Cricetulus griseus: one gene and its partner. The protein of the gene in region 2 purifies or fractionates together with the protein of the main gene of each other region. This does not show direct contact. Links are inferred from orthologs where the notes say so. Each region holds a gene or a part of one and is shown on either strand. Other genes may lie near its edges.

Region 1 (7,347 bases), on a different chromosome or scaffold from region 2:
GGACGTCAGCTTTGGAGGGGTGGGATAGCAGCCACACCTGGCCCGAAGGCAGCTCTGCCCAGCGCCCGAGTGGCGTTCTCGTAGCCCAGGGCCCGGCAAACGACGTTGGCATCTAAAATGTTCCAGAGGTTGTCACACACTGTCCCCCACTGGCCTCTGTAGAAGATCTCCACGCGGCCCTCACTGGCTGAGGCTCCATTAACCAGACGCATGTCCCCATCTTCGGTACCTGCCAGGAAAGCGGAGGTCAGACGGGAGGAGGGCTGGCCTGTTTTGGTGCCCACCCCCAGGACTTCGATGCTTTGTGCTGTTCTGCTGGGTGAAGGCTGCCCCAACTGGGGTGCAATGGCCTTCTAGAGTTGGTCTTGAACCACTTCCATGCCCCCTCTCCAGGTGTGAAAAGTTATCCACTGAGGAGGTGTGGAAGCTCTGTGAGGGCCCACAAGGAGGCTGTGGCCTTTCTATCTCTCAGTACTGGGCCTTTTGCTACAAAGGAACACCTCAGATCTCCAGCCTGCAGAGTGGAAGTGGTGGCCCCCGGAGGATCTGGGAGGGGAAGTGGTCCCTTGCTGGCTCTTGGAATACTGGCCTGAGGGGACAGGCAGACACAGGCAGAGAGAGATGCCCCTCAAACCTACAGCATCAGTCTAAAGCAGACAACCCTGAACCACAGACAGTCTGCACTCAGGCAACGGGCTCCTGTCCCCCACTCTCTGGGGCTCCTATCTCTGCCAGTGCTCAGAGGGCCAGCAAGTAGCTGGGTGCTTGAATTTGGGGGTCACCCATGCTAAAGAGGGATGCTCAGCTGAGGGTGCAGGATGACTACCCTCAGGGACTCTCTGAATTCTAACCTGTGCCCTGAGGCCTCCATTCTAGGTTAGCACAGGCCCAGAACGCCCTCCTTGGCCCAAGGATGAGATGGGAGGTTCCTGGGCATTTCTCCATCACCTGAGTTTCACTTGGGCCCAGGTGAGCCCGAGGGCCCACACACCACCATTACTTGGAATGACTGGGGGTCCACATGGAGAGAATCCCGAGACACAGCACCTCACATCTGGGTTTTCTGCAAGGAGGGGGTGACCCACAGAGCGAAGTGCAGTAGCCTTGAAGACCTCTATTTTGGACATTTCCCAGCAGGCATGACTCACCTTGAGTTCCCGGAACCAGCAACCACAAAGAAAAGAGCCACAGGAGAGCCATTGCCTGGCCCAGAAGTCCAACCCTGCAGCGGAAGGGACAACAGAGTGAGGCTGGTAAGTTCTCCCTGGAAATGAGCAGTTCCACGGTCCTCTCGGCCCTGCTTGTGGGGGACAGGGCAGTTTTGAGGGCGGCCTCTCTTCTACAGGGCCTAGATGACAATGTGAGGCCCTCACGCAGGCCTCTCACATGCTCTGGGGACAACCTTCAGGTCAGTGAGATTTCCCAGGTGGAGCTCCTGGCAATGAGGACCCAGGAAGCACAAGGGGCTGTCCCTTGGGAAAGGACAGGGTGTAAGCCTGTTAACAGTTGGCCTTATCTTCAGGCAACAGCCCCTCTGTGTGGTGTGCCCCAGAGGCATGAGAGACACCAGTGGGAGGAGTTGTGGATGAGGTTGGAACAGGGGTCTCCTCCCTCAGGAGGGGAGTGACAGAAACAGTGCAGAAGGGCCTGGGCTCCAGTGGTGTGAAGCGGGGGTGGGTGGAGGTGTGAAGGTGTGAAGGGAGTGGGGTGGGAAGGGGTGAGGGGGTGGGTGGGAGGTGTGAAGGGGTGGGTGGGAGGTGTAAAGGGAGTGGGTGGGAGTGTGAAGGGGGTGGTGGGAGGTGTGAAGGGAGTGGGTGGGAAGGGTGAGGGGGTGGGTGGGAGGTGAGGGTGGGTGGGAGGTGTGGGGGGTGGGTGGGAGGTGTGAAGGGAGTGGGTGGGAGGTGTGAAGGGGTGGGTGGAGGTGTAAAGGGAGTGGTGTGTGAAGGGGGTGGGTGGAGGTGTGGGGGTGGGTGGGAGGTGTGAAGGGGGTGGGTGGGAGGTGTGAAGGGAGTGGGGTGGGAAGGGGTGAGGGGGTGGGTGGGAGGTGTGAGGGGTGGTGGGAGGTGTGAAGGGGTGGGAGGGAGGTGTGAAGTGGGGGTGGGTGGGAGGTGTGAAGGGTGGGTGGGAGGGGTGAAGGGGTGGGTGGAGGTGTGAAGTGGGTGGGTGGGAGGTGTGAAGGGGGTGGGTGGGAGGGGTGAAGGGGGTGGGTGGGAGGGTGAAGGGGGTGGGTGGGAGGTGAAGGGGGTGGGTGGAGGGGTGGGGGGTGGGTGGGAGGTGTGAGTGGGGGAGTGGGGAGTGGGAGGTGTAAAGGGAGTGGGTGGGAGGTGTGAAGGGGTGGGTGGGAGGTGTGAAGTGGGTGGGGTGGAGGTGTGAAGTGGGGGTGGGTGGGAGTGTGAAGTGGGATGGTGGGAAGGGTTTGAGGGGGTGGGTGGGAAGGGGTGAGGGGGTGGGTGGGAGGTGTGAAGGGGTGGGTGGGAGGTGTGAAGGGGTGGGTGGCAGGTGTGTCAGGGTCAACTCCTAATATGCTGCCAGCTCTAAGCAGGTGGGCAGAGAGGGACTCAGTCCTTAGGCTATGGCCTAAGCTCTTGCCTATCTTTAGGCTGTGCCCCTCACCCAGGCACTGGCCCTCATCCCTGCAAGGATGTGGACGACCACAGTGCAGGAGGCCTGGTGACACCCACTCCACTCCCAGCAGACAGGAGAGCTTGGCTCTGGCTAGCGGGTGGTGCTATTAGGAGCACTATCTACTGGGCAACAGCTGGTAACCTCAAGTTGTTTCTTTGTTACTCAGACCAGGGGCCCGGGGATGTGCACCAGAGATAGCCCAGGAGCAGTAGAAATACAGGGTTGCCCCTCACCCCCCATACCCTTCTGCCACCCCTGTCCCAGACTTCTACACTAGACCAGTATGAAGGACCTCAGGGTCCCAGCCCACTTGTAGCCATCCTGGCAGGGGTGATGATGTTCAAAGAGAGACTTGTGCCCCTCCCTTTGACTACTGAAACAAGGCACCCCAAGGAGCTGGAATTCCCCCAGGAGTCTCATGCTGAGAGGAGAAAGCTGAATTGTGGTGACAGCTTCACTAGGGGGAGCTTGTCTCCAGGAAAGAGACTGACAGCCCAGGCAATGACCAGGCTAGCTGAGTTTTCCACACCTCTAGCCCTCTGTTTAAATCTAGACCTCATGTTAGTACCCCCTAATGGACTCAAGGGGGAGGCTGGATCTGTGCTCATCTTCTCCACGTGGTCCCATCAGGTAAAGCTCCTGTTTATGTTTCTCACTATTGTATCTTTAACTGTACCACAGAGGATGCGCGGCTGAGCCTGGTATCGGGGGAGCTGTCTGGGCACAGACTCTGACCATCGAGTCCTGTAACACGCCGGGGTGGGAAGCTCGTTGCTGGGCACCCTCCCCACCACACTCAGCAGGTCCCCCTCTGCAGCCTTCTAAAGCCAGCCATAGAGTAAACAAGACCCCAGGCGAGTTTCCACATCCCAAGACACTCTGAAGCTAGAGGGTCAGCTGTCTCCAGGTCACACAGCTAGTGAGCCCCAAGTTGGGGTCTGCCCAGGGGGAGCCATCTTGTACCATGCAGACCCTGGCAGAGGCAGAAGGAGCATCTGTGTGCTGAGACATCACCCCAGCTTAATCCCAGGGAACCCTGTGTTCTGGGAAACCTGAGTTCCAAGGAAAACTGCCCCAGGTGCCCATCCTCTGCACTGACTACAGGCTGTGGCCATAGGTTTGTCCGTGCCGGGTCAAGAGCTCTAGGCCTTGGGAACATTGCAGGTACATGGATGTGGTTGTCCTCTGGATGGCAGAGGATGTTTCTGTGTGACTCCTTTGTGTGGGAAGTTGGGACAAGTCTGCCTCTGCTGGCCCATTCGGTACCTCTGTGTAGGTAGGCACAGGCCTGGGCAAGAGCACACAGACCCAGGAGAGGGCCAAGGGCTCGATTCTGACACACTTCTCCCTTCAGCAAACACCCACCCAACTGCATAGAGTTCTCACACATCTAGGAGGAGCACCATGGCTCCCGTGCTCAGCGGCCTGCCAGTGATCCGTGCTGTGTAGAGTGGGGACTCACCTGGAAGCCAGAGACAGGAACTACCTGTCTGTGAGGGGCTGAAGATGGTCCCGGAGCCTCCCTGCTGGCTGCAATCAGAAGCTCTTTGTAGACTGTTCGCGGAGACAGGCACCACCATGTGGTTTTCCTCAGCCTCGTCCCAGGAAATGCTTTATAAACCTTGTCTAGTTTCGGTTTCCAGAAAACACATGACAGAGGTTGCTTCTGGGGTTGGCTGCAGACAAGGCTAGCAGCCCCAAGCTTACTTGCTGCTCTGTTGGTATGGCAGGCACCCAAGTGCCCTATGGCTAAGCAGATAAAACAATAATGTTCAGTCACCTAGGCTACAGCTATGTTTTACCAAATTCATGTTCAGGCTGGCCAGGCAGGCACCCTGGGGATTGGGGGGGGGTGATGCAGTGGGCCTGGAGCAGAGGCTCAGGGGGAACAGACTGTGTCTATGGGTATGGTTGAGGGCTGCGCAATCCTTGCCTGGACCTGGGGAAGCAGGCTGTGTTCCTCATGCACAAACCTACTGCAGGGGAAAAGGGCCAGCCAAAGAAACACACTTTAGCCCTGCAACCAGAACCAAAGAAATGCACACTGACCCTGAAAACAGTGCCAAAGAAACTCATTTTGTCCCTGGAATCAGAGCCAGTGAAAGAAACACACACGCCCTAAAATTAGAGCCCAAAGCCTAAAAGGGACCAGTGAAAGAAACCAGAGCCCTGAACCTGAGCAGAAAACCAACTGCCCTGACCCGTGGGGAATCACGCGAGCTCACCACCCCCCCCCCATGTGCTGCAGTCACCAAAGAACCTAGAACGGTAGGGTCAGGGGGAACAAAGAACGACAGTAAGACAGGTTTCTAATCAAGCTACAAATTTTTATTTTTCACAGGGACCTGATATAGGGGTGCCAAGCGGGGAGCTTGGCAGGAAGGGAGAGGTTGTTTGAGGCTGCCTGCCTGATAACCGGGCTGAGGAATGTCCCTGTGCGTGAGTCCTTGAGAGTGCAGGAGGTTACCAAGGTCTCAGGGTGCTGGTGTTAGATAATGGGTTAGATGTGGGGGACCAAAATCTTTCAGCTATGGAATATTTTGAGTTCCGGCCTTTGGTTTCACCACTATTGCATTAATTGCCACTAGGCTACTACTGTTTACCATAGCCTGAGGGTAATATGCCTCCTAATTTGCATCTCTGTAGTTTAAGCCTTGAATAGGCCCTCACCTGGGCGGAGGAGAGAGAGGTATGAGTAACTTGGGAGGACAGAAAGTTGGGAGTTAAGAGGCTCCCTGCCAGAGCAGCGAGGAAACAAAGAGAGAAATGGTTGCCTTATAGTATTAGCAGCATGGTTAAGAGACACCAGAAAAGATGGCTAATAAAGAAATGACTCTAGTTCCACAACATGGAACTGAGAGCTCTCTAAAGATGACAAGATGCCTGTGTTTGGTCTTTATCGCCGTCCACACCCCCCACTCAGGTAGAACCTCATGGACTAAGGCTGAGACAGTTAGAAGGGGGAAGGGTTGCTAGGTAACCTGACCATGAAATGTATCTTTCCTTCTATAAGCTACTTCATGAGCCCAGACATTATGTATCAGGGAGGAAAGGATTAAAGGCAGCTATTCTTTTGATTATAGTGTGCTTATACTGGCAGCTTCTGCCCAAGTCTCTTACAGGTCCAAGGTTACTTTTGCCATGGCCCCCAACAACCAACCAATCCCTGAGCACCAGATCCAGTCAATCTGAGCTCAGAGATTGAAATCTAATCAATCCCCACCCTAGAAATCTCCCTGGAAAAACTCCTCCCCTAAGAAGCCCCATATAAACCCTGTGTCTGTTCAGCTTGTGGCTGTTAGGCTGTCCCCCTGCCTTCTTCCACCCTGGAAGAAGTAGCCACTCTCCTGGATTTTCCCCTCCCAATAAATGTCTTGAATGAGGTTTGGGTGAGACCTTCCTTTGCCAGAATGGAGTGGAGGAGAGAAGTAAAAACTTTTCAGCAGAGCCCAGCAGAGCAGAGAGGAGCAAACTGTAACAACCTCGCAGGGGAGACCCTCCCCTGCTGGAGCAGAGCTGTTACACTGGGGAAGCCTTTCCCTGGTGCAGGACTGTAAGCTGCTATGCTTACTGTGACCTGTGGTATTCTTTGGCTCCCAAGTGCCAGAATACCTTTCCATCTGAGCTGTAACACACAGTATTCTGTGACTCCCCAGTGCCAGATCCTCCCTGGCCATCCCATCCCATCTGCCCTTGAAACGCTTACACAAACTGTGCTGGGAGTGGAGGTACGTGGACCACAGAGTGGACCACGCCCGAGGGACAGGTTTAGAGACAAAAAGACCAAAGATAGAGTGCAGGGTTGGGAGCTGGGGTGGTTTAGTGGCTGAGAGTACGGCCTTGCCCTTACCTGAGTTCAACTCCCAGCACCCATGTTGGTTGGCTCAGAACAGCCTGTAACTCAGCTCCAGGAGAATCTGATACTTCTGGCCTCTGAGGGCACCCACACTCAAGTGTGTGCGTACACACACACACACACACACACACACACACACACTTAAAAAACTAAATCTTAAAAGGTTCTTACAATACCTAGTTTAAAGGGGGAAAGCAGGGCTAATCAGGCATGGTGGCACACAGCTTTAATTGGGAGGCAGAGGCCCGTGGATCTTGTGAGCTGGAGGCTAGCATGGTTTGCATGGTGAGTGGGTAAGGGCACTTGCTAGCCAATCCTGATCATATGAGTTTGGTCCCTGGAACTCAGTGTAGGAGAAAACTGACTCCTGCAAGTTGTCTTCCAATCTTGGCATGTGTACCATGGCACATATGTGAGCACATGTGCACACGCACGTGGTCACAGACAGTAAATAAATGTAAAAGGTAAAATAAAAACCAAAGAGCACTGGAGGGATGGCTCAGTGGTTAAGGACACTTATTGCTCTCGAAGAGGGCCTGGTGGGGCAGGGTATAGAACACCAAATGTTCCACCTGGCTCACACCCATTCCCCTTCACCCACAAAACAAAAAACAAAACAAACCCAACCACACCTTAGTTCCGACTTGGGGAGTTCTCTGTCCAGAGCATCTCAGCCTGGGATGGCCAGAATTACCTGTGACAGACACCAATGTCCACATCAGCCTGTGGGAGAGCTGGTGTTTTGGAAGCACCAAGAAATTCTGATGTACAGCCCCTTTGGATTCACCCCAAAGCTGTGAGCCCCAGAACCCAGAGGTAGGAATTCAATGGCCGGTTCCCCTGAGACATGCAGTTTCCAGGGACTC
Region 2 (6,726 bases):
CTCCTTTGTCATACCTCAAGTGCAGATGTCAGTCACAGGAGGAGAGAGACTGAAGAAAGGCAAAAGTGATACTACAGTTGGAGACCACTTTCTACACATAAAGCTCTCATCCTTACTCCACAAGCACTTTCCGAGATGGAGAGGATTCCCAAAGGCAGTGAACAAGTCACTCAAACCGCACTAAGGAATCGACACTCTCATTCTGGGCACAAAGAGACAGGACTGGAGGAACATACATGAGTCTCCCAGTCCTGGTCCCCATCGCACTGTCTCAGGCTGACAGACCTGTCAAGTAAACATTGAACTCTGAGTCCTGAGGCCTCTCTACAGAGGGAAGAAGAAAGCTGGGTGAACTCAGCTCCTCTGCGGTCAGAAATCACAAAATCTCAACTTGTGATGCAAGTACCTTTTTGACAGAGGCTGACAAATCTTTATCAAAATATTAGATTAGGACAATTTTCAAGTATCAGTATCTAATTGCAAAGGGTTCAAAAACTTCTTTCCCCTTTAGTTATTCACTACAGGGATAAAATGAGTTGCTCACAGATAACTGCACCAACCATGGGAGCTTCTGCAGTGGCGGGGACAGGCCTTGACATCCACCAGTGTGCCTACTCCTTGCAATGTCATCAAAGCCACTGCAGTGCTAACTGCAGAGTCCAATTCCTTTCCTACAGGACACATCACAAGTTTCACAGAAGTTCAGCTGACACTTAGTTCTAATACTGGCCTCTGAAGAGGAAATGCTATCTACACTAAAAGCCATTTGTGACTACAGGGAGTTTTAGAAGACAGCACCCAAGGATGGTCATGCATTCCCAAGCTATTCTCCATTCACAGCCATCAGAACATTTCACTGTACCTGGGTATGAAGTTTTCTGTGCAGCTCTGAAAACAACGCAGCATCTGCTTCTCTCCTTTGTCGAATAACTGAAAATGTAGAAAAGGAATTGAGCATATTAGTTGCATGCACCAAGATTCAGTGTTAGGAAATCATTTCATCTGTGCTAACAGACAGGGCAGTGCTGGAAGAATCCTGCCTAAGAAACCAAAGTACAGGACCACGAGACTTTCAGCAATGTTGATTTAGTCAGCTCATCCAGCCCCTCTGTGCATGTAAAACAGGAAGACTATCGGGCTGGGATGAAGAGAGGGCTGTCTGCAAATACTGATCCACAGCCAGGCAAACTATCAACTCTACTAATTAATAACAGTTACCTGGAGGGACAGAGGGAGGGGGGATGGGGGAGGGGGAGGGGGAGGGAAGAGGGACAGAGAGACAGAGGGATGGATCATGAATTCACATGATGACCATACATGACAGTCCATCTGATTTAAAAAGCCACATTCTAGCCAGGTGTGATGATACATGTCTTTAATCCTGGCACTCAGAAGGCAGGGGCAGGAGGACCTTTGTAAGTTCAAGGCCAGCCTTGCTGACCAAACAGAGCTACACAAGGACAAGACCTTGTCTCAAAAAAAGTCACATTCTAACATTTTTGCTAAGATGTGCAGCAGTAGTCTATCTTGCTTCAGTATAAAATAACCATTGTCTCAAACTAAGTATCAACTTACTATTAATTTTATTTTCAATATTTTATTGTTCATTATTGCTGATTATTTTATTAATGATTAATTGTATCATTAATTTTCATTTTAGTAATAAATGTCTGGATATTCCAGTTCTGCTCACAAATCATCATAAGCAGCAGTAATCAGTGGCAAATTCAGTCTATGTTCTGTTCCATGATAAAGCAGAATCTACAGACCAGACATGGGTCCCTTGAGGAACACACTGTACACAGAGGCCTCTAAAGAAAATTATACTGCCTACTAGCAAAATGTAACACAACAGCTATCTTTAAAACACAGAAATGGCTAAGCAGTGGTGGTGCACCCCTTTAATCCTAGCATTCGGGAGGCAGAGACAGGTAGATCTCTGTGAATTTGAGGCCAACCTGGTCTACAAAGAGAGTTCTAGGACAGCCAGAGCTGATATACAGAGAAACCCTGTCTTGAAAAACAAACAACAAACAACAGAAATAGACTCCACAAAAATACAGTTATGACATTAAGCAGTTGATGTTCTTTGTGAAGTTGAGAACTGTTGCTAGGCCAGGCAGGAAGGAGTGGAGTGACATGAGACCTCAATGCATCCCTTAAGATGGCAGGTCATTTCAGTTCGATGCATCTTCTGTTTGTAGGATGCATTTTCCTATCACAATTTTCCAACCATAGTTGACCATGGGTAGCTTAAAACCAAGAAAGGAAAGCAGCTGATAAGAGAGGACCACTGCAGGCGCACACTGTAGGTATGACCACTGAGTCACGCCAAGGCTGCCATTCTAGCTGCTGGGTTCTTAGAGAGTCACCCACTCAAGTTCTCAATAGGCAGAGGCACTAGATCCAATCATTCTGGGGCGAAAGCCTCAGATATGTCACCAGTCAATACTCCCCAACTCTGTGTTACAACTATGAAAGATCACTGGCCCATGCAGTTCCTCATGCAACAGCTCATGGCAGGATACTATGCCATGTAGAATGACTTCCTAGGAGTGCTATTGCCAGTCTGTCAAACATTTAGAAACAAAATCAAAGCCTACCTCATTTGGGCAGTTTAATAGTAGGTCCCAGGAGGAAGAAGCTGATAACATCAAAGGCAGGTTTTTCAATCCCACTGAAAGGCCCCTACTGCAGCATGCTAGCACTCCAGCAAAATACTCTCTCCAGCCAGGCCCAGATTGTCGAAGACTGCCTGCTACTCAGAGCCTAGACTCCACAAAGCACTTCAAAGGCTGAGAGGGAAGGATAGCTGGCCTCACCCAACCCAACTACTACAACTAATCCAAGTGTCATGAGTGGAGAGCCGCCTTCTCCAAGGTGCCACATCTAAGACAGCCATAAGTACCATCTCAGAAGTAAAATGCTTGCACAGTTCTGAAGTACTGAAACTCTGAGGGCCAATGAAAGAAGCAATGATGCCTCATAGAGACTGGTTAACTGGGATATTAGGATATGGAATTCAGAGAGGCAAGAGGTGACAGTGAGTCCTTTTATCTTTCGTATTCTAAAACTAAATTACAGTGTTATGAAACATTTAAAATAAACTTCCACTAAAAACAATGGAATCTTGAAATTCTCAGGCAAATGGATGGAACTAGGAGAAACTATCCTGAGTGAGGTAACCCAGTCACAAAAAGACAAAAATGGTATGTACTCACTCATATATGGATTTTAGACATGGAGCAGGGGATTACCAGCCCACAATTTACACTGACAGAGAAGGTAGGAAACAAGGAGGAACCTAAGACAGACATACATGGTCCCCCGTAGAAGGGGAAAGGGACAAGATCTCCTAAGCTACCGGGAATCATGAGAGGAGGGGAGAGGAAATTAGAAGAAAGAGAAGGGGAGAAGGGGAGAAGGGGAGGGGAGAGGAGGACATAGGGAGCAGGAAGATCTAGTCAGGGGAGGAATGGAGGGGAACAAGAAAAGGGATACCATCATAGAGGGAGCCATTATAGATTTAAAGAGAATTCTGACACTAGGGAAATGTCCAGAGACCTACAAGGTTGACCCCAGCTAACAATCTAAGCAATAGTCCAGAGGCTACCTTAAAAGCCCTTCTCAGATAATGAGATTGATGACTACCTTATATGCTATCCTAGAGCCTTCATCCAATAGCTGATAGAAGCAGAAGCAGACACCCACAGCTAAACACTGAGCTGAACTCTGGAATCCAGTTGCAGAGAGGGAGGAGTGATGATCAAAGGGGTAAAGACCAGGCTGGAGAAACCCACAAAAACAGTTGACCTGAACAAGGGGGAGCTCATGGACCCCAGACTCATAGCTGAGAAAGCAGCATAGGACTGTTCCAGACCCCCTGAAGGAGGAAGTCAGTTTGGATGTCTGGTTAGTCTATGGAGCCACTGATAGTGGATCAGTATTTATCCCTAGTACACAATGAACTTTGGGATCCTGCCCCACATAGAGGGATACTCTCTCAGCCTAGACACACTGGGGAGGGTATAGGCCCTGCTCCAAATGATATGACAGTCATTGAAGATCCCCCATGGACGGCCTCACCCTTCCTGGGGAGCAGAGGGGTTGGGATAACGGGGTCAGTGGGGGGCACGGAAGGAGGGGAGGGAGAGGAAACTGAGATTGACATGTAAAAGAAGCTTGTTTCTAATTTAAATAAAAAATAAATTACAAAAAAAACAAAAAATAAAAAAATAAACTTCCACTATATTTTAGTAATTTTAATGCCAAGACAAAATTGAACTGTCCTTATTTTTAATAGTATCTGTAACTAAAACATGCTTGAAAAAAAAAACATACGCTCATATGCACATGTATATATGGGTATATATGCAAACATGCATACACAGATATGCACATGCATACATGGGTGGATACATGAACACAGAAGGCACATATACACACATGTGTATACCCATGAGCATGCACACATATATCACATGCAGGTAGACACACATATGAGCATACACATACACATATCACATATTCTTGAGTTTTCACGTTTCATAATCCAACACATAATAAAGAAAAATACATACGTTCTTTCTTGATTTTTTCAGCTACTAGAAATTCATCTCTTTCAACAGTTGGAGCAAAGTTGCTGCCGATGACTCTCACAGCAAACTGGAACTGCTGGGCAACATCAGCTGGAAGGTGAGCAGAGGGTGCAAGTTACAGCAGGACAGTTTTCATCACCAGAGCACACAGCTCAAGAGAACAGGAGTTGGAGATCTGAAGAGCCTGTTGACATCAGACATGGAGATACAGTCTGGAGTTTACCCTGCTGGTTTTCAGTCTTGCTTTGGTCCAGTATTTCCTCATTATGCTCCCTTTCCTCCCTTTTCGAATGGTAATGTTATTCTGTGCCATTGTATGTTGGAAGCATGTGAGCTGCTTTTTTATTTTGGTTTTACAGGAGATTACAGTTAAAAGATTGTAATGTGTCTCACAAGAGACTTTTGGACTTTTGTTTAGACTGTTATTAACTATGAGGAATTATGACGTTTGATTGAATGCATTTTTTTAATTATAATATGACTATAAGCCTATAGGTGCCAGGAATTGGAATGTGGTGGAATGAAAAGGAATGGCCCCATAGCCTTTTATTTTTGAAAGCTTGGTGTGGTAGTTAGAAAGGAAATGGCTCCCATTGGTTCACAGAAATGGCAACATTAGGAGGTGTGTCCTTGGTGGAGTAGGTGTGGCTTTGTTGAAGGAGATGTGTCACTGGAGGTGGGTTTTGAGGTTTCAGAAGCTTAAGCCAGGCTTAGTGACTCACTGTCTCTTCCTACTGCCTGTGGATTAGAACTCTCAGATACCTCTCCAGCACCATGCCTGCCTGCAGGCTACCACGCTTCCCATCAAGACAATAATGGACTAAACCACTGAACTGTAAGCCAACCCCAATTAAATAGTTTCCTAAACAAAGAGCTGCCATAGCCCAGCCGCAGCAGTGGTGGTGCACATCTTCAATCAGCACTCAGGAGGCAGAGGAAGGGGATCTTTGAGTTTGAGGTCAGCCTGGTCTACACAGTGAGTCCCAGGACAGTCACAGCTACACAGAGAAACCCTCTGTTGAAAAAACACACAGAATAAACTAAAGTAAGATTTGCAGTGGTCATGGTGCCTCTTCACAGCAATAAAACCCTAAGACATTTGGCCAATAGGGAGTAGCACTACTTGAGAAGGATTAGGAGGTGTGGCCTTGTTGGAGAAAGTGTCACTGCGGGGTGTGCATTTAGGTTCCCAAAGCCCAAACCAGGCCCAATGGCTCTTGTTCTTCCTGCTGTCTGCAGATCCTTCTCCTGTTCCATGTCTGCCTCCCTGCCACAATGCTTCCTGGCATGTTAATAATGGACTAACCCTCTGAAACTGTAAGAAAAACCCAGTTAAATGCTTTCCTTTGTAAGAGACGCCACGGTCATGGTGTCTCTTCACAACAATAGAACAGTGACTAAGAGACCCTCATAATATGAATGTAAACTACAGTCCAATTTTAAGTTTCTGAGGTCTTAAAATTTTCAACATTTTATTAAGTGCAAAAAACTGAACTGTGAACTCTTATAAAACCAAACACAACTTAGCTCTAACATATTGCACAGAATAAACACTCCAACTTCAAAATGGAACAATCAAGGCATAGCAATGAATAATCAAACCCGAACTCCAAATCCAATATGGCCAAAACCAAAGCCTGCAGCTCCATGGCCAGCATCTGGCGATCATGATGAGATGGGCTGGACTCCAAGGGGTTCAGAAAGCCCTGTTCCTCAGCCCTTCCACTTTTGGCACACACAGCCACTACCAGGACACTTCTCCATTCCCTTCTTTCCAGAAGTTACCACTCTTCCCATGGCTAGCCCCCGTTCATAGGGCCAATGACAACAATCTATTTTTTTCTCCTAGCAACCTGCCTTCTCTGCCTGCTCAAGGAACAGGTACCTGAGGTCTACAGACTGGCAGCTAATGAAATGCTTCTTCACCCACACCTTCCACTGAGCGTGAACCCACCAACTCCTGACTCTCCCCTCCCCCACATTGTCCCTTGTCAGCAGGAAGAAGCCAGACGTGAACCAGTGTCCATACATCCAAAGAGTCTGGGATATTATTGTGGAAGCTTCACCTCAGCCCCCGGCATCCATACACCCTGAGTCTGGAATGCTATGGTAGAAGTTTCACCCAAGC

What was found.
Region 1: the proteins of Tubgcp3 (region 2) and Lgals3bp purify together in Homo sapiens (affinity purification with mass spectrometry; 4 studies listed by BioGRID and IntAct, counting the BioPlex papers as one, with this or other methods). This does not show direct contact. The link is inferred for Cricetulus griseus from reciprocal best matches to the Homo sapiens genes TUBGCP3 and LGALS3BP.

Annotation. Positions count from the first base shown.
Region 1 is NC_048600.1:130,943,329-130,950,675, forward strand, and holds the start of Lgals3bp (galectin-3-binding protein), read right to left. Parts: upstream 4,251-7,347; 5' UTR 4,088-4,250; intron 1,223-4,087; 5' UTR 1,201-1,222; coding exon 1,149-1,200; intron 230-1,148; coding exon 38-229; intron 1-37.
Region 2 is NW_023276807.1:68,080,617-68,087,342, reverse strand, and holds part of Tubgcp3 (gamma-tubulin complex component 3), read right to left. Parts: intron 4,689-6,726; coding exon 4,581-4,688; intron 931-4,580; coding exon 863-930; intron 1-862. UniProt on the Homo sapiens protein: Component of the gamma-tubulin ring complex (gTuRC) which mediates microtubule nucleation.